Linked DNA regions of Mytilus edulis. The protein of the gene in region 1 binds, or shares a complex with, the protein of each later gene. Links are inferred from orthologs where the notes say so. Each region holds a gene or a part of one and is shown on either strand. Other genes may lie near its edges. The genes, in order: origin recognition complex subunit 3-like and origin recognition complex subunit 5-like.

What was found.
Region 2: the proteins of origin recognition complex subunit 3-like (region 1) and origin recognition complex subunit 5-like are in contact, whole or in part, in a crystal structure (PDB 4XGC), measured with the Drosophila melanogaster proteins. The link is inferred for Mytilus edulis from reciprocal best matches to the Drosophila melanogaster genes Orc3 and Orc5. Residues at the interface, in NP_476904.1 of Drosophila melanogaster: Ile105, Gln107, Leu140, Lys141, Val144, Cys183, Thr184, Met185, Lys186, Gln187, Glu213, Cys214, Asp222, Leu225, Ile226, His230, Ala243, Thr244, His250, Tyr255, Ser258, Ser259, Arg262, Leu263, Ala270, Pro272, His302, Ile303, Leu305, Tyr306; in NP_477132.1 of Drosophila melanogaster: Ile72, Glu73, Tyr75, Ile79, Glu82, Asp86, Asp94, Arg130, Tyr291, Met292, Arg293, Ile294, Glu295, Leu319, Glu320, Leu321, Pro322, Tyr323, Tyr324, Ala325, Asp383, Leu386, Ala387, Tyr390, Val397, Leu399, Thr400, Cys401, Asn402, Leu403.

Annotation. Positions count from the first base shown.
Region 1 is NC_092353.1:2,483,512-2,493,441, forward strand, and holds the start of origin recognition complex subunit 3-like, read right to left. Parts: upstream 4,068-9,930; 5' UTR 3,931-4,067; coding exon 3,904-3,930; intron 1-3,903. Other genes in the region: guided entry of tail-anchored proteins factor 1-like, read left to right, coding at 7,356-7,436, 8,287-8,452, 9,410-9,477, 9,914-9,930.
Region 2 is NC_092344.1:67,507,936-67,518,051, forward strand, and holds the start of origin recognition complex subunit 5-like, read left to right. Parts: upstream 1-6,238; 5' UTR 6,239-6,371; intron 6,372-8,997; 5' UTR 8,998-9,014; coding exon 9,015-9,107; intron 9,108-10,116. UniProt on the Drosophila melanogaster protein: Component of the origin recognition complex (ORC) that binds origins of replication. DNA-binding is ATP-dependent, however specific DNA sequences that define origins of replication have not been identified so far.

The DNA.
Region 1 (9,930 bases):
AGAGCCTGAATCGCTCACCTGGTAAACAATGCCTTCGGCCATGTTTTTTGACGAAATAGAAAATAAAACACAAACTTTATTTTATACACCCTACTGATCATTCAAATGAAGTTTGGTTGAATTTGGTTGAGTAGTTTTAGAGGAGAATATTTTTTAAAGTTAGCAAATATGATGAACAAATTGTGAAAAATTGTCATTAAAGGACAATAACCCCTTAAGGGGTCAATTGACAATTTTGGTCATATTAACTTATTTGTAGATCTTACTTTGCTGATCATTTTTGCTCTTTACAGTTTATCTTTATCTATAATAATATTCAAGATAATGACCAAAAACTGCAAAATTTCCTTAAAATTACCAATTAAGTGGCAGCAACCCAACAATGGGTTGTTTGATTCATCTGAAAATTTCAGGGCTGATAGATCTTGACCTAATGAACATTTTTACACCATGTCAGATTTGCTTTAAATGCTTTAGTTTTTGAGATATAAGCCAAAAACTGCATTTGACCCCTATGTTCTATTTTAAGTAACGGCGGCCATGTTTTTTGACGGATCAAATATCGAAGCACAAACTTTGTGCAGGATAATCTAAGGAACAATCATGCTAAGTTTCATCCAAATCCATTCAGTAGTTTTAGAGAAGAAGATGTTTGAAAAATTGTTAACGACGACAGACGACGACGACGACGGACGCCAAGTGATGAGAAAAGCTCACATTTCCTTTTAGGAAAAGTGAGCTAAAAACTGCAAAATTTCCTTAAAATTGCCAATTCATCGGCAGCAACCTAGCAACGTGTCGTCCTATCCATCTGAATATTTCAGGGCAGATAGATTTTGACCTGATAAACAATTCAACCACAGTCAGATTTGATATTAATGCTTTGGTTTTTGACATTTTACCCTTATGTTCTATTTTTAGCCATGGCGGCCATTTTGGTTGGTTGGCCAGGTCACCGGACACAATTTTTAAACTAGATACCCCAATGATGGTTGTAGCCAAGTTTAGTTCAATTTGGCCCAGTAGTTTCAGAGGAGAAGATTTTTGTAAAAGATAACTAAGATTTATGAAAAATGGTTAAAAATTGACTATAAAGGACAATAACTCCTAAAGGGGTCAACTGACCATTTCAGTCATGTTGACTTATTTTTAGGTCTTACTTTGCTGAACATTTTTGCTGTTTACAGTTTATCTTTACCTGTAATAATATTCATGATAATAACCAAAAACAGCAAAATTTCCTTAAAATTTCCAATTCAGGGGCAGCAACCCAACAACGGGTTGTCCGATTCATCTGAAAATATTAGGGCAGATAGATCTTCACCTGATAATCAATTTTACCCATGTCAGATTTGCTCTAAATGCTTTGGTTTTTGAGTTATAAGCCAAAAACTGCATTTGACCCCATGTTCTATTTTTAGCAATGGCGACCATGTTTGTTGATAGATCAAAACTTCGGATACAATTTATAAACTAGATATCCTAAGGAACATTCAGTTAAAGTTTGGAAGTATTTGGCCTAGTAGGTTCAGAGGAGAAGATTCTTGAAATAGTTTAGGACGACAGACGATGGACGACGACGGACGCCAAGTGATGGCATAAGCTCACTTAGCTTGGCCCTTCAGGCCATGTGAGCTAAAAAGTGTTGAAAAATAATGCAAAGATTAAAAAGGGTAGCTTTATTCCTGTAAGAAAATCATCAGGGAGATGTAGGGTTGATGATATAATTGGTAAGGATGTAAATTTGTACAAACTATCATGTGAATTTGGCATATTGAACTCTTATGTTATGGGTGATATCGATCTTTTCCCACGCAAAATTGAAACTGCACATTGGAAAACAGAATGAAATTTATTGCATATTGCTGCAAAATAAGCAAGCAAGCAAGAGATGCAAATGCAAAGGAACATGCACAAACAAATTATACATGTAAAATTGTAAATGTAAAAAAATCTGATGTTCCTCCTAGCAGCAAGTGTCATGAGTGTCACCCAGGGCGGGATTGCCAAAATAGGATTTAGAGACAATTTAATACAGAATTATTTAATTTCAATTGATTTATTGTTAACTTATTCACTTTATTCATCAAACTGTAATAATATTAACTTGAAATACTCAATAAAAGTTTTTTTATTAATGTTTGTCTAAAATAAACCCATATGATCCAAATACATGTATGGTCCAGCTCATTCTAGACCGTATGAGTATACTTGTACGCCACGGTCCGACTGTATACTCATGTGGTCTGGAACATACATGTTGGTGACCTTCTGCCGTTGTTTTTTCTATGGTCGGGTTGTTGTCTCTTTGACACATTCCCCATTTCCATTCTCAATTTTATGTTCCAGACCATATGAGTATTTGGACCGTACGTGTACAGTCCAGACAGTATACGTATACCTGTACGGTCGGACCGTATAAGTATGCGCGTATGGACCATACATGTGATTGGATCATATGGGTTATATTTAAACAATTTTCCACAATCTTTATTTTTAGTTTTACAAATTTTTATTATTACAATTAGACAGATAAACTGAACAAACAAACAATTGAAATTTAACTTTGTTTAATTGCATATCTGAATCCTATTTTGGTACACTCGCCCAAGGTGACTTTATATTTTTTACATTTGAAAATGTACATGTCTGCAGTTCATGCATGTCCCTTTGCATTTGCATTTTTTTGTAAAGTTGCTAAACATTCTAAAACAACTGTCCTCCCATATTATGTTTACTTCAGATATCTTCAATTTCAGTGATCATAATTTAAATAATGTATAACTGATCGACATCATATAAATACAGGAGATTAACAGAGTTGATTAGCATGATTTTTTAAAATAGTTAGAATATAAAGTTTTTATTTCAACTACAATTGAACTTTTTCATATATTAATTTGAGAGTTAAGTTATGCTGATCTGTAATACGCATTAATTATAAATTTGTATCTAATAAACTTGACCAACTTCTCAATATTAGTGAGACTGTATGTGTACGGTCTGATCGTATAAGTATTTTGAAAAAGTACACATACGGTCTGGAACATAAATGCAAGTTGGTTACTGTTAGGGTAGTCCAAATAATTATGACGTCTGGCAAGGCTATTTTAATTTTTTCTGGGACGCCTTCCTACGACGTCATAACGCCGAAGCCATTTTTTAGGTCTGGAGTTTGAGAGCAAATTTTGGGGGGAATTCCGGATAATGTAAATGAAATGTTCTGGGAATTCGGGTCTGTCAAATTTTACCGATTTTAATATTTTATATTCACCGGAAGTCACGTTTGTCACGTTTTTTTGGTAATTGTGGGAAATCTCTCTGAAACAATATAAATATTTGCCCACTTGAAATGGAATTGCATCTTATTTTATCATTACTTTTGGATATTTCTGGAAATATTTTACATAAATCAGCACAAAAAAGGTAGGACTTTGTAATAACGTAAAAATTTCTAACCAGCAATGAAAATTTCAGGTCAAAATAAGGTTTTAAAGTTCCCCCCAAAATTTGCTCTCAAACTCCAAACATAAAAAATGGCTTCGGCGTTATGACGTCGTAGGAAGGCGTCCCAGAAAAAATTAAAATAGCCTTGCCAGACGTCATAATTATTTGGACTACTGTTAGGGTGTCTATTCTGCTAGCCTACACAATAATGTCATGCTCTAATTTTCAGCAAATTGATTTGATTTAATAAATCCTTCACAATAAATCTAGACTACTCTAGAACAGTTGTAGGATATCTGGACTCAAAAAATTGATTATGAATAGAAATATAAAGTAGAAACAAGTGCTTTTTGTAGAAAATAAATAACAAATAATAAACTATTTGATATATTTCAATCATGATAATAAAAAATAAGTAAGCTGTGATGAGAATTTCACTATCATTAATTAATATACTTTTGAAACTGAAGACCCAGTGTCCATGTCAACAGTTTATGGTATTTACTAAAAAAAATTAAGCCTTTTCTGTTTTCTTGCAATCATACATTTTGCGGGAGAATTCAATATACAGGCTCTGTCAATAATGTTTCCTTGGAGAATTACCAAAAATACAACTAATCACCAAACACAATTTCAAGAGAGTTAACACTGTAAACACGTACCAAAAATTAATTACAACTTAATGATGACACATACATGAAACCTCTATTTTCAGACGCATTTGCAGGAGACCTTTGAAAAATGCAAAAGTAATACCAGAGACATATATACACATATAAGTTTCTGGTAATACTTTCTAAAAGGAGGGATTTTACGAGTTGTATTTTCTGTGTGTTTTTTTTTTACATATATATATAATTAATGATAAATTCTTTATTTAACGAAGGTAACTCCTTTAACATGCAATTGTTAATCTCATACAAGGCCTTAACACATTTAAATGAACAATTCATATAACAATCAATGCATATTGCACAATCAATAGATATGTACACAATTACAAATTACAAATATATATCTATGCAAGCATGAAATCAGACTGTACAGAACTAGCATGGCAAGAATGTCATAAAAAAACGTTTGTCTACTCATTTTGTTTTGTGATCAAGAGATTAGCACATTTCATCTTAAAGCTTTCTATAAGTCTTTTCAAAATCCTTTATATCATTTGGCAAACAGTTGAATATGGCCAACTCTCAGGTTACTCCTGTCAGCACTCTGATAACTGTCGGAGAGTTCGAACCAAGAACCTGGTTGAAGACCCCTTTATTTAGCTAGGCAGAAATAAAAACTAGAAGCTTTCCATAGTTTATAAGTGAATAATAATTTGACCAAAGTCATGGCAAAATATTCTGTTAGTTGATTGTGGCCAATGGTCCATTATCCGGTAGAAGTTGAAGACAACTGAGATCAACGATTTTGTAAAGCAAGTAAAAATTCACATAAAAGTAACAAAATTCAATTTGTCATTCGAAGTCTTGTCTTGATGCATTATAATGCAAAACAGACGAATGACATCTTGTGTAGATACAATAAAATGCAAGACAGTATCATCTTCTCTAAGGTGAAAACAGTCAAGAATACGTACTGCATTGATGTAACCAGACTATGATCTTCGCTAACCAAGGGTTACGATCCGGTTTTCCTTATCTCCACGGTGACGATGGACCAGACTGAAGCTCTTCATGAACATCTAAAACTGGTCTCTTCTTTACAGTCTTCAATCTAAGCCCGAGAATTTGCATCAAAATGATGTTAACTTGATAATAAGTGAACTTATCTCCTGCACCACTTAGAAAACACAATATTTTCAAATTAAACTGTCACATCAATTATATTATGTTAGTTCACAGATGTCACATGGTTTTTAGGTGGCAATTACAAGAAGAGATAAAAAATAAATACACAATACCAATCAAGAAATGAATCTTTTTTTTTCTTTATATGTGATTTTGGTTTTTTTTACAAAATTTATTTTTTTCAATAAATTGCAAGATTAAGATATCAAAAAAAAAATACATATTTAAAAATAATTAGGTTTTCAAATTAATCTTAAAAGTCAGGATAAACAACATCACAGAATATTTCCAAAATAAGAATTAAACACCAAAAATAAAGGAGGAGTGTCAACCCCACATGTGCCTGTGCATTTTCCTTTTTAAAGTTTTAAAGTTTAACAATTTTGTGTTTTAAACATCTGTTTGTTGTTATAATATCAGTCGCCTTATCTGTACGAAATGACAGATTTATAGCCCTTCGGCTTATACATTTTATAATTGAGAGAAGATATGAAATTTTCACTTTCTTGTGCATGGATGTTGGACTGAATTTTGTCATTATAAATGCAAATTTTCTGTTTATACTAGTATTACATATTTCAACTATAAAGGAATGGAAAAAAAATATCGTATGGACATAGTGGCTAGACATGCAATTTATTTAGATTATGCTTCATGAAAAAGTTTTTTTTTACCTTCGAAACTTTGAACATGCTTATTTTTTTCAGAACTTTCTATTGAGTCAATATAGCTTTAATATGATTTGATTGACAATAATAAAATTCGAAATTTTGATAACTTTCCTCATGACACATAAAGACAGATTTCCTCTGATGAATACTTCGTTGGGGACTTGTTTCAAATACCACCCAACGCAAAAAAAAACATGGTAAGACGTTAGAATATAAATCTAGTAGGAAGTTGATGTACCAAATTTCGCAGATTTTATGTGCAATTTTACAACGGAACATAGGAAAATGCATTTTATTCAATCTCAATGTTGCGCCGGACATGCAATTATTTAATGTAAAAGTAAGATATGTGTGATCAATAAAATAAACGTATGGTGCAAACATTTATACTTAACTTAAAATAAGAAAAACATGTCAAGGGCTTTCTGTAGACGTATGCATGTTGGTGGGTTTATTTTGTATAGGCGAATTGTTGCTGTTCTAAAATAATATCATAACGAAATTATTTAATTTTGGATGTAACGCGTCTTCTGATTGGCTGACGTTATTTTGTTATCAGCCCATAGACATAATTTAGTCATGTGACCGTGACGTCATCAACGTTTTTCATGGTTTTCTACGGTAAAACTGTTTAAAATGAATTTAGAATTAAATTATAAGAAATGACTGTAATATTTTTCTGTCTATTTCGAAATAACACGCACGTTATTCAGTGTGCACCACATTTTTTTTATGTTATTTCTTCATAGACAGAAAAAATATTACAGTCATTCCTTAAATGTTAATCCAATCATTAACGTGCGTAATGTCTACATATTTCATTTGCTCATTTTTAGAAGATGACTGTCTTATGGTGATGTTACTGTAGATTTTACCTTTTCCGGTTAATACTTCATCTGTTCAGTGATATTTACTGTGAACATTTTGTGAACATTTAAATCTATTAACCTATCTTTAAAAATATGTGCATCATCAGTAATGTCAGGAACATATATATTAACTTATAAGTTAGATATACTATTCCGAGGTAATGTCAAATAATAAAAAAATACAAAATATTTTCCCTTAGAAAACTTTGTAAGACTTTCTTTCCTCTCTTTGCTCAAAGAAGTGCAATTTGGATACTCTGACGAATCAAGATTTTTTCCTTAAAACATGGATAAATTAGAAATTGTATATTAAAAATTTCTATTGGTACGACTTTCATTTTTAATTTATGTTTTATGTGAAGTCGGTATTTAGGAAGCAGGCTGTATGTTGTATTCGAAACTTTTAGTTTGGACTTCAGTGATTGTAAAAACGAACAATCTCGATAAAGTCTTAGTAGTCTGTAACAAAACATTTAATCATCTTCAAAGCGCTTTAAAGTAACATATATCAAGAATCAAAAGCAAGTTGATACTTGACGTTGAATTATATTCTGGAAAAAAGAAAAAAAATGTTTTTGCTTATACTAGTTCTAATTTTGGTGATTTTCTTCAATATTTTGTCGAATTTTACCCAGATAATTTCAAAACAAGTATGAATCAATCCATTTTGCATGCAATTTTCCTTCTTCTTTAATATATACAAATGCCTTTTGTAGGTTTATCATAACAAATGGACAAAAAAATGAAGACTGGCTATATTTACACATCTTAAACTACTCTAGAGTACAGTCTAACCTGTTTAGTTGGAAAGGTTTTAAGGCCTGGTATCAACTAGATATATAAAAGTTAAATGCATAATGTATTTCAGAAAGAAATTGGATTTTGATGGGCATTTTTTTGTTGTTCCTGTAGCCAGAAGGTGTAAAAATAAATGCACACCTGAATTGCTTTAGATACTGTACACTCAATACACCTTATCGCTATTTGTCCGCCATTACTGAAAATCACACAGGTTCCCGTAAAATTTTTACGTCTTAAAACCAAATATCTGACGTCCGAATGGAGAAGTGATTGTTGTATGCGTCAAAAGTTCAAGCGGCCGGGTCAGCAGGGATTAGTGATAAGGTGTATTGCACGCTTTAACTCACCTATAGTTGTAGATAACTAATGTCTGTCTATTGTCCATGTCAATCAATCAATTCAATACAATACAGTTGTTACCTGATCAAAGTTCTATCCAAACATAGTTTTTTTTTTATTTTTGTAAATTTTTCTTAATCAGCCATGGAAATATTTATATAAAGTACAGATCAGATGTGACCAGCTATGGCCGAAGACCATACAAAAAAAATAACTACAGTACAGATCAGGAGATGTAGGAATGGCCCAGGTGACAGAAGAATAATGATCACAGTGTGAATGATGTGCATTCTATGCTTATTAACAGACATTTGGTGAGATTCACACAGAAATGAAAAAAATGTTTATTTTATGTTTCAGCTGAGTAAGCAGATATACCCTGTTTGTGATACAGAACTGAATATAAGATCACAGATTAAAGATCTGAAGACAGAACAGGATGGTGTACAGATGGTGGATGAGTTTGCCAGACATGCAAAGATACAGAGGAAAATTGATAAATTATTATCTCAAGTTAAACAACAAAGTAATTTATCATTTTACAGCTTAACAAAAAATGTTAAGAAGCTTAAAATTTATTACCATAATGTTAAAATATATTTTGCAAATTATGAATCATTTATTGTTTATGAAAGCTATGTTACCAACCATAATTATAGAGGTCTTGGTTTTGCCTGAGGGAGTTGGAACCTTAGTTTCTTTATTATGTTTATATTTAATATGAGGCAGGCATTACCTGTAAATGGGGACGAAGTCTGTATGAATTATTTTTTTGTAACTTAAATATTTGTTTAAAAAAAAAGAAACGGAAATACCGTAACGTTTCCGATTTTGGTTCTGTTGTTAGGGATTTAGTTGTGACGTTATTTAAATTATGACGTCATATGCAATGTAAACAAAGAAACGCTATCATCAGGTAACGTATTTTCATACCAAGGAATTATTAAAAATGAAATTGGTATTGCACGTTCCTTCCTATTTTATACTAGACTGATAAATATATATTTTACTCAAAGTTTCATACAAACGAGACCGGAAAAAGGAAGTACATTGTACATTTCTGCGCAGGTCCGGGATTTCAAAACACGACAAAAAAAAATTGAACGATTTTGAGTTCATTAGTACAATGAAAAATTCAGGAAATTTTCCCGTATTTTTTTTTTTATTGAATTTTCTACTGTTATTGGGGACTCCGTCCCCATATAATTTCTAAATTTATCAATGGGGAATGGTATGTTATAAATCAGCACACATAACAACTGTTTTATATTTTGTGTAATTTCAACTGTAGATAGAAACAACAAATGTGCTATATAAATATAAGATATATGTGGTATGATTTGAATGCCAATGAGGCAACTCTCCATCCAAGTCACAATTTGTAAAAGTAAAGCATTATAGGTCAAAGTATATATATATTATAGGTCATATGGTTGGTTCAGAAGTAAAAATAACAACCGATTTATATTTTGTGTAATTTCAGCCTCAGATAGAAACAACAAATGTACTATGGTTGGTTTTGCTGTACAAATTGGCATCTATGTTTTACATGTAAGTATTTATGGATGTGCCTATGATAGTCTACATCTATGTTTTACATGTAAGTATTTATAGATGTGCCTATGATAGTCTACATCTATGTTTTACATGTAAGTATTTATGGATGTGCCTATGATAGTCTACATCTATGTTTTACATGTAAGTATTTATAGATGTGCCTATGATAGTCTACAAGTACAGGATTTCATCATTAATCTGAGTCTACAAATTTAATAGATTATAATTGAGCAAACGATTTAAGGAATCTTTTTATCATAATTTTTAATGAATTATAAAGAAGAGGTAAATTGTCTGCAGCTATAACAAACAAAAAATAAAGAGAAGTTTGAATGGAGAAATTGTCTTGAATATCCAGATTGAAGCTGGTGAATAAGCAACATAAATTCTTTTTATTTTTACCTTTAATAACACCATTATTTTGTTACAGGCATTAGTAATGATTTC
Region 2 (10,116 bases), on another chromosome or scaffold:
GGATGTGGCTGTCTACATCCCGCACAGCCAATTAAAACAAACGTTTCCTGATTAAAAATACACAGTGTTCGTGACAACTTCTTGTTGACGAAAATCCACAGGGAGTAAGAACCGTATTTAAAATAGTATGTTATGATGCATATCAGCTCCTACTACTGCGCTGTTGATAAACCGATCGGATCATACTGACAGTTAGGCCACCAGCAGAGATCCGGGGATCCAGTGCGAGTAAACGGAAACACTTTACATATTTCGTGCGTCCGAAACACTTTTCTGGATTTATCTTATTTGGTATCTGGGGGCCGTTGTATGAGATTTACAGACTAGAGAATAATATACTGGTCACAAATAAAGAACGGAGAAACATATGGCAAAAAATACAAAAATAGGGAAAAATGGGATGCTCAAATATATATCCGTTCAGAATGGAGAATTAGGGATAACCACCGAAAAATAAAAAAGACAGATACAATTCCTACTTCATCAACAACACTGCCAGACCTTTGGAAGAGCTTTTTAACCGACATTACAAAATCGCATAAAAAAATTACATACATAGCAAGTCATGCGCACATACAATATAAATACAAAAAGTAGAAGTTCATACAGTACGTAAAACACAAGTTCTTAAACACATTTATTGAAGCATAATAATTACGGAATAAAACACAGGATCGAATGTAAAAAGGTTTACAACATATTAAAAAAAAAAAGCACACAGAGAATAGTTGAATAGCTATGAAGCAAAAAATCAAAGGTCTGAGAAGCACTACCGTAGAAATTAACAAAATAAAAAATGCCATATGCTGAAAACAAAGCATTAAACTTATAAAAGGAAGATATTTAACTAATTTTGCTGTCGAAGCATTTGTACTTATGAGCAACCAGATCGAGAATTTACCATGTTTGAAAAGTGCACATTTTTAGGCGGCCGATGATTTACAGAGTATATCTTAAGGTGGCTCGTGCATGGGTACAAAAATTTCAGAAAAAAATTAAACCTTTATTTTTTCATTACAAATTTTTTTAATTACACTATTAGTTATAACGTTATGATATGGTACAAAAATCAACCCTCCCCCCAAAAAAAAACCCGATTCGGTTTGGCTCCAGATGACTTTTAAAATGTTTTAATATATCATTGAAAAAGCTCCAAATTATCTCCCTTTGGTGCAAAAATGCCATTTCTTGGCATTAAATGTGAAACATCTTTTTTTACTCATCGTTGATCGATATTTTTTATCATTGTTTTCAAATAACTTACTTACTTACTTACTGCCCGGTATGTCATCGGCATGTAGGGCAGCAACAAAGGTTCTCCATTTCTGTCTGTCTTTGGCCATCTTTTCTACTGTTCCCCATGTATTATTCATGGTCTTCAGTTCTCCTTCTACAGTACGTCTCCATGTGTTCTTTGGTCTTCCTCGCTTACGCCTTCCTTCTGGAGTCCAATGTAGAGCTGTTCTAGTGATGGAATTTCTATCTCTTCTGATGACATGCCCAATCCATTTCCAACGCCTTCTCATTAATATTGTACCCATGCTATCTTGATGACACTGTCTCAAAAGGTCTTCATTAGATATTTTATTTGGCCAGAAAATACGTAGGATTCTTCTTAAGCTTTTGGTATGGAAAATTGACAGTTTGTTTAGATCTAATTCTGTCATCCTCCAGCATTCAGATCCGTATAGCAGAGTAGATAAAACACAACTCCTGTACAGTTTAAGTTTGGTCTTCTTACTGTACTGTGCTGATTTCCATACATTGTTTAATGATCTGAAAATATTTCTGGCTTTGTTTAATCTGTTCATAATGTCATTTCCTGCACCTCCATCGTTTCTTATTGTACTTCCTAGGTATGTAAATGTTTCTGTGATGGGAAGATCTTTTCCATCTACTAGGATAGGAGCTGGGTTATTGATGTTTAGGGTCATGACTTCTGTTTTGGTTTGGCTGATTTTAAGTCCAACTTGACTGGCAAATGTATTAAGGCGGTTTGTCTTCTTTTGTAAATGGTGGTGGGTGTGAGATAAAAGAGCAAGATCATCAGCAAAATCAAGATCTTCTAGTGTTGCTGAAAGGTTCCATCTTATTCCTCTTGGAGCATCTTCTGTTGTTTTTCTCATTACCCAGTCAATGACAACATTGAAAAGAAGAGAAGACATCACACATCCTTGCCTAACTCCTGTTTTTACCTCAAACCAGATGTTGCTATGCCCTACACTGCAAGTGAAATTGTTGTAAAAACTTTTGATAAGTTCAATTATATCTTTTGGAATTCCATATGCTCTTAGTATTCGCCACAAGGTCTTTCTGTTGATACTGTCAAAGGCCTTCTGGAAATCCACAAAGTTGATGTAAAGCTGCCTTTGCCATTCTGTACATTGTTCGATGATGTTGCGTAAAGCAAAAATTTGATCGATGCACCCTCTACCTTTACGGAATCCTGCTTGCTCTTCTCTTAGTTGTTTATCAATTGCATCTATTATTCTTTGGATAATAATTTTGGCCATGATTTTACTTGGAATTGACAGGAGGGTAATGCCTCGCCAATTGTTGCAATCGCTTAGAGCTCCTTTCTTGGCTAGCTTTATTATTATGCCTTTGGTCCAATCGTCTGGTATTATTTTTCCTTCCCATATTGATGTAAATAATGCTTGAAGAATTTCAGCTGCGAGTTCTGGGTCGACTTTGAAAAGTTCTGCATTCAGGTTGTCATGACCTGGTGATTTTCCATTTTTTAAAGATTTTATTACTTTTATTATTTCTTGTTTGTCTGGAAGGTTGATATTAATTTCCAAGTCTTGAACTGCCTCAATTACTATCGCTTCGTCACCTGGCGGTGGCCTGTTAAGTACTTCCTTAAAGTGTTCTGCCCATCTGGCTTTTTGCTCGTCTTCTGTTGTCAATAGCCTTCCATTTTTGTCTTTTATATGGACATCATTAGTGTTACGAAATTTACCACAGATTTCTCTTGTGATCTTGTAGATTTTTCCTTGTTCGCCCTTTTCTGCTGCTTCTTCTGCTTGTTTAGCAAGGTCTTCCATGTAAGCTCTTTTGTCTGCTCTAGCCATTCGCTTAACATTTTTGTCTAGTACTCTGTAGCTTGCTTTGTGTCTTTCTTGTAACCGTTCAGATTTTGTGTCTAGAATCTTCTTATTCATGTGACGTCTTTCTTCTATAACCTTCCATGTACCTGGTGTTATCCATTTCTTCATCGTTTTACCCTGTTTAAAACCCAAACATTCTTTGCTAGTTGTTTCGTAAATTTTTCTTATTTGATCCCATTTTGAGTTGACTTTTGTTGTTTCTGTCGGGATCATGTCAGGATTATCTGTAAGAGCTTGAAACTTATTTTTCAATTGGAGGATGAATGCAGTTTTTACTTTGTGATCTTGTAATTTTTCAATATCATATCTTGTGGGGACAAGTGTTTTACGTCCTGTACTTCTCAATTTCATCTTAATATTTGCAGTAACAAGGTGATGGTCACTACCAACATCTGCTCCCCTCTTGACTTTAACATCGAGTAATGAACGCCTCCAAGTACCATTTATCATAAGGTGGTCTATCTGGTTCTTATCCCTTCCATTTGGAGAACACCATGTTAATTTATGTATATCTTGATGTGAAAAGAGTGTTCCTCCTACTACCAAGTTGTAAGCTGCACATAATTCTGCTAGTCTTTCTCCATTATCATTTATAGTACCACATCCATGTTTACCTATTATTCTGTCCATATCAGTGTTGTTGTTTCCCACTTTGGCATTCAAATCACCCATCACCACCAATAGATCATGACGGGGTACCAATCTCACTTCAGCTTGTAGTTGTTCGTAAAAGGTGTCTTTCATAGCTTCATCACTGTCATTTGTTGGTGCATAGCATTGTATAAGGGTCATGTTGGTGTGCACTCCTTTAAATTTTGCTGTTATCAATCTACTATTGACAGGTTTCCATTCCATAAGTCTCTTCTCAGTGCCTTTCTTGAGGATGATGGCTACTCCTTCAAAATGATAGTTGTCATCTCTCCCTGAGTACAGAACTGTTTCTCCTGAATCTGTCTTTATCTTACCAGAACCTGTCCATCTACTCTCGCTAACTCCCAAAATGTGCAAATTATATCGCCTCATTTCTGATGTGACCTGTGCAAGTTTCCCAGTTTCATACATAGTACGTACGTTCCAGAATCCTATTCTGGTTTTTGCTTTAGCGCTCAGCACTTCATTCCTGCCAGCAGCTTCCTTGCGGCTTTCACCACTGGCAATCATACTATTTTCTTGAAGGCCTATTCGCACAGCGGTTGTGTTTGATTCCTTTGTTGCTGTTTCCGTAACTTAATTCTTTTTACAGGATAGAGTTGTTGGCCCTATGCCGAACCCCCTACTTGGAGGGCCAGGGATTTTTTGTCGAGGTTTCCTTCCTTTAGATAAGTTGCCGACCAAGGCTGACGAACCATTATCTGCCCTTTTTATATCAGAGTTTTCTTTCTCCTAGATAAATTACCTTCCTGGGTTAACGATCTTCATCTAACCGGCTATTTACCCATAGTTGGGGCAAGGTTAATGAGAGTAAGGGCGTGTCCACACGCCGGTGGGCCTACACTCTGCATCTTTAGGGCCCTTGCTGCTCCAAGATCCTCTACAGTAAAGCCTGAGATACTAGATCCCAGTTACCATGTGCTGTCGCGGGGAGGCACTGTAGAAGTCTTGACAGTGTAGAGGCTATGTACTGACAGGAGAGGCTTACTCACTCGGCTCTCTCTTCGCTCACATATGCAAGCTAGCCAGCGGCAGCTGCTTTTCATAAAAAAAACAACCACACTAGACGCATACTACTGCCCTGTGGAACAACCACCAGCACACATGTTTTCAAATAAGCTGTACATAAACTAAATAATTGTAAAATTTAAGCGATTTCTGTAATTATGTTATTTTTTTATTTCGATATTACCCGTCTATTTCTTCATTAGCTCAACAGAAAAAAAGGACATTAACAAAAATGTATGCTTATTCCGGAGGCAGATTGTGAGCTTAAATGAACGGTGGCCCCATTTTTTTATTTCATTTTTCTTTTAAGTATATGATAAAGTTCATTTATGAAAAAATATAGCGAAATCCTATATTAGAATTTTTTTTTTAATCAACCACTTTCTATATTAGAAAATGTCTGTACCAAGTCAGGAATATGACAGCTGTTATCCATTCGTTTTGGTGTGTTTGAGTTCAGTTTTATAGTGATTATACTTTTACATTGTTTTAGAAACGTGAGGAAGTTATATATATATATATATGGGCCTAAAAGTGGTACATAACAATTCGTTCCTTCAAAACATAGACAGTTTGCTTCATGGGATGATTCGCAACTGAAATTAAATCTTTAAGGAGGCTCGAGGGTATAAAAATTTCAGAAAAAAAATAAACATTTGTTTTTCATTACAAATTTTATTTATTACCTTTTGTAGTTGTTACTTTATCATATGGTACAAAAAACATTCAAAACAATTAATTCGTGTTGGCCCCAGATGACTTTTTAAATGTAAGCATCATTAAAAAAGTTCCAAATTATCTCCCTTTGGTGAAAAAATGCCATTTTTTGGCTTTAAATAAAGGCAACAGTAGTATACCGCTGTTCAAAACTCATAAATCCATGGACAAAAAACAAAATCGGGGTAACAAACTAAAACCGAGGGAAACGCATTTAATATAAGAGGAGAACAACGACATAACACTAAAATGTAACACACATAGACAAAATCCCACGAGAATAACAAATATAACATATATTTTTTAAAATTGAAATATCTCTTTTAACTCATCGGTGACCAGGCTATATTTTTTAATATAATTTCGATATATGCTGTACTTAAATTAAATTATTGCAAAATTTGAGCGATTTCTGTAATAAATTTCTTTTTTTTATTTCGATATTACTTTTATTTTTCCTATCAGTTCAACAGAAAAAAAAACCACTTTAACAAAGATGTATGCTTCTTTCCAGAGACATATATATATGTCTCTGTTCTTTCGAAGGCAGATTGTGAGCGCAAATGAACGGTGACCCCATTTTTTATTTTATTTTTCTATTAACTATAAGATAAAGTTCATTTATAGAAAAATATAGAGAAATCCTATTTAAATGATTTAGACCCGCGAACCCCCTTAAGTAAAGATTATCTGTAATATTAGTTTAGCTCAAGCCGATAGACATATAAGACGGAACAGTCATCTCGTCCGCTATTGACTCAGTGTTTTATAAGGATAATCTTTCGATAGTCATCGGAAATCATTAAAAAGATCCGAAATTTGGCGGGGAAATTTAATGAATTTTGACAACATTACCTGTTTAGAATTAGGTGACCGACATACAAGGTCCTTTTACTTCAATTATTTATTTATAAATTACATATGAAGAAAAAAATCTCTAGATGACAAAATTTATAACTTTTTCGTTACCAGTACCACACCGGCACACGGTCATGACAGTGTGCCTGTGTTGGTAACGAATTTTTTTTCTGGGAAGCCTTTCTACGACGTCATAATTATTTGGACTAGACAGTCACCGGCTTACTTGACACTGTCACAGACTACACATGAGAAACATTTTACATAGCATCTAACATTATAAACACTTAACTCGAAGCCCTGTTTTCATGTCTACCCGTCCCCTAGTCCAAATAATTATGACGTCTTGAAAGGCTATTATAATTTTTTTCTTTGACGCCTTACTTCGACGTCTAATTTTTTTCTTTGACGCCTTACTTCGACGTCGAAGTAAGGCGTCAAAGAAAAAAATTATAATAGCCTTTTAAGACGTCATAATTATTTGGACTACCCGTCCCCTAGTTGATCCGTCCTCAGGTCCTTCTGTTCTAAGTCTTCATTCCAAGTCAATCCGACCCACACTTTCAACATCATAACATGTAAAAAATTAAACTACTCAGTCTCATGATTATTGATGAACAAAAATCCCCAAAACTTTGGCAGATTCTGCTATGAAAGATATAATTCTGTGTCTTATGTATTTTTATTCCCCAAGTGTAGGGGCATTAAGTGTTACCCTTGTCAGTCCCGTTTTTCCTGTTGGTTCCAATCCAAAATTGGTTTCTGTTCTCTATGAACGAGTCTGCCTCAACCAAATGTTACAAAACTTGTACAGAATGCTTTCTTCCATAATTTACAGATCAAGTTCAAGTTCAAACTGTGGCGTCACTTGAACCTGTTCATGAGTAATCCTAATATACATGTAGGCCAAAAAAATAATACATGTGTTCCTGCTTAAGTTCTGAAAGAATTTAGGGTAGTTTACTTAGGCATGTTAGGTAGGTAGGCAATATCATTTTATTTTCCAAACATTTCTTAGCTGGATACTACTTGGGAACCAGTCTGACTCTAACGGTGCTTGTTCAAAATGCCCCAAAAAATTAAGGTATGCACTAAAAACTTGGGTAGGTAGGGTTAGGGGAAATACATGTATTATTTTTTTGGGCCTTATAAATATAAAAATTGCTGGCAATAAATACAGAGTACAGTAGACTCCGGCCAATCGGATACCCAAAATGTCAGCTAAAAATATCTGATATTGTCCGATATATTCAATTAGCCGATGAACGTATATTCCTCCGAGTTTTTTTTCAAAATTGACAGACACAACCCTAAGATACCAATAGCTATTATAGCTGCTTTATTAATGGAAATTTGTAACTAATCTCATTGTTTTTTCAGGTACAAGTTCGGATAATTCGGTTGATTGAGTAACAGATCAATCAGTTGATAATAATGTATTTTGTTTATCTGTCAGTCTATTGATTATTAATTATTAATTATGAGTTGATTATCTGAATAAAATATGTACCATTTAAATAATGTGACTTGTTGTTTTTGCGTGATTTGTTTCATTTGTGTGTTAAAACAGGTAAAAGCTAAAAATAGCTATGAATTCTCGGAAGTAGGCCACAGGTAAATTCTATTAATAGCTACGAATTCATGCCGACTATAAACTTCTACCTGTAATCGTACTCGGATCTAATTTTCTACATTTTTTTATTTATGAAATCCATTTCCAATTTCAAGTAATACAACTATGTTTATGATTATAAAATTGTAAAATTAATTTTGCTTTTCTATCTTCTCTGTCGTGGTTCAAAATAAAAGGCTGAATATTATGTAAATTAGGAAAATGGCGTACGTGTGTACAAGTTACATAATTCTATTTCACCTGGGACATGCTATTGACACACGATTCCTTGTTTTTACACGGGACTTCTATATATATTTTAATAAATTGTTGAGAAAGAGGTACATTTCATTCATATTTAATAAACATTGATGAACATCACGCACAGTTTATCATTTTGTCGTGTCATTGTTTGTGAAGTAAATGACAACGATCACATTTGGATAAACACATAACAAACACATCTTGGGCAGAATATAATATCAAATTCATAAAATAAACAAGACAATAAGAAAAAATATGTTTTATTTGACTATGAAAGATCGTTTTTATTAATAAAATGAAACATTTCTGTACTGAAGTTTTCTTAAACTTCGTAATGGCGTGACTTCCGGTTTCATTTCCTGTCAAAAAAAATATGAAACTATTTCAAAATATTCGATTGTACATGGTTTTCACACATTTTCCATGAATATTCCTATCCAATTAGCCGATATATTCTAATAACCGATATTCGATTATCCGATGTATTTTGACTGAAATGTATAGGGAATGGTTCGGTGTTTTGAAATAATATTACAATAGCCGATATATTCGATTAACCGATATCCGATTAGGTGGAGTCTACTGTACTTATAATTTATGGATATTCGATATCTTTATATTTAACATGTTTAAATAACAAGATATTTTTATACCATTATGATATATATAATAGATGTTTTATAAAGATATTTGATTTATTTGATCTAGCTATTAATACATTCCTTATGTTCAGTTGACACCTGTCAAATACTGCTCATTTGTTCTCCTTTTATGTAGAAGCTGCATCAGAAAATATGACAGAAGTAGACAACTTTAAAGAAGATCTCAACAAAACATTTCCATGCAGACAATCACAGATTAATTTGTTGCTGTCATTGTTTGGACAGGTAAGTGAAATGTTTTTTTACAAGTGTATACAGATGCAGATTACATAAAATGAAGATTACATAAAAAGGGTCCTAAATTTTAGTTTTCAAAAAAATGCAAGTTGTCCTGCTTTTTCCATGTCTATTTTAAAAAATAATATTCTTGGGTCAATTTAAACTCTACTTTGATAACTACTTTAAATATCTATTATATAGTTTTGAAGCTTGTGGTATCAAGTCATTTAATATGAGAAAGGCGCTACCTTGAATGCCAGCTTTATACCCAGACTATGTCCTTTATATATATATATATTGATTGATTATTGGTTGCCTAATGTCCAGTGGCAAATATTAATATTTCATACATGTTCAGGACGAATGTCCTACATATGATATAGTTTTTGTCTAAAATAAAATAATGAATTCAGATGGAAAATGTTTATGTATTGAATGATCATTGCACTTCAATACTTTGACAAAAGGCTGGAGGGGTATGGTATTTCTAGTTCAAAAGTCTTGAAAGGCTATTATATTATTTTTTTGACGCGTCGCAGGAAATCCTTTCTCAACGTGATAATTATGTTAATTAAATAAATACTATCATTAATTAACTATTTAATACTATTTTAGTGACATCTATTAGAAGTTGTTCTTTCTTGTTTGCTGCTTTTGGAATAAACAATACCAGCTTGATGATATATGATCTTATATTAATGTATTTTGTAATTTTAACAAAAACATCAGTACACATATGCCAGTTTGTTTATCTATGATTGCATATGAAGTTATTTTTAATTTTTAACAAAGACATCAGTACACATATGCCAGTTTGTTTATCTATGATTGAACTTATGTATATGAAGGTATTTTGTATTTTTGGAAAGTTTGCTATAGCTTGCTATTGCTACTTTCCTTAGGCGTCGGCCTCAAACTTCCGGTTGACAGATTATCGCATTATATTCTGCTCCGAGATAGTGTAGTACTAGTGTCTGAGTTCTGATACTTGGAAGATTCTTTAAAAATTTTAAGT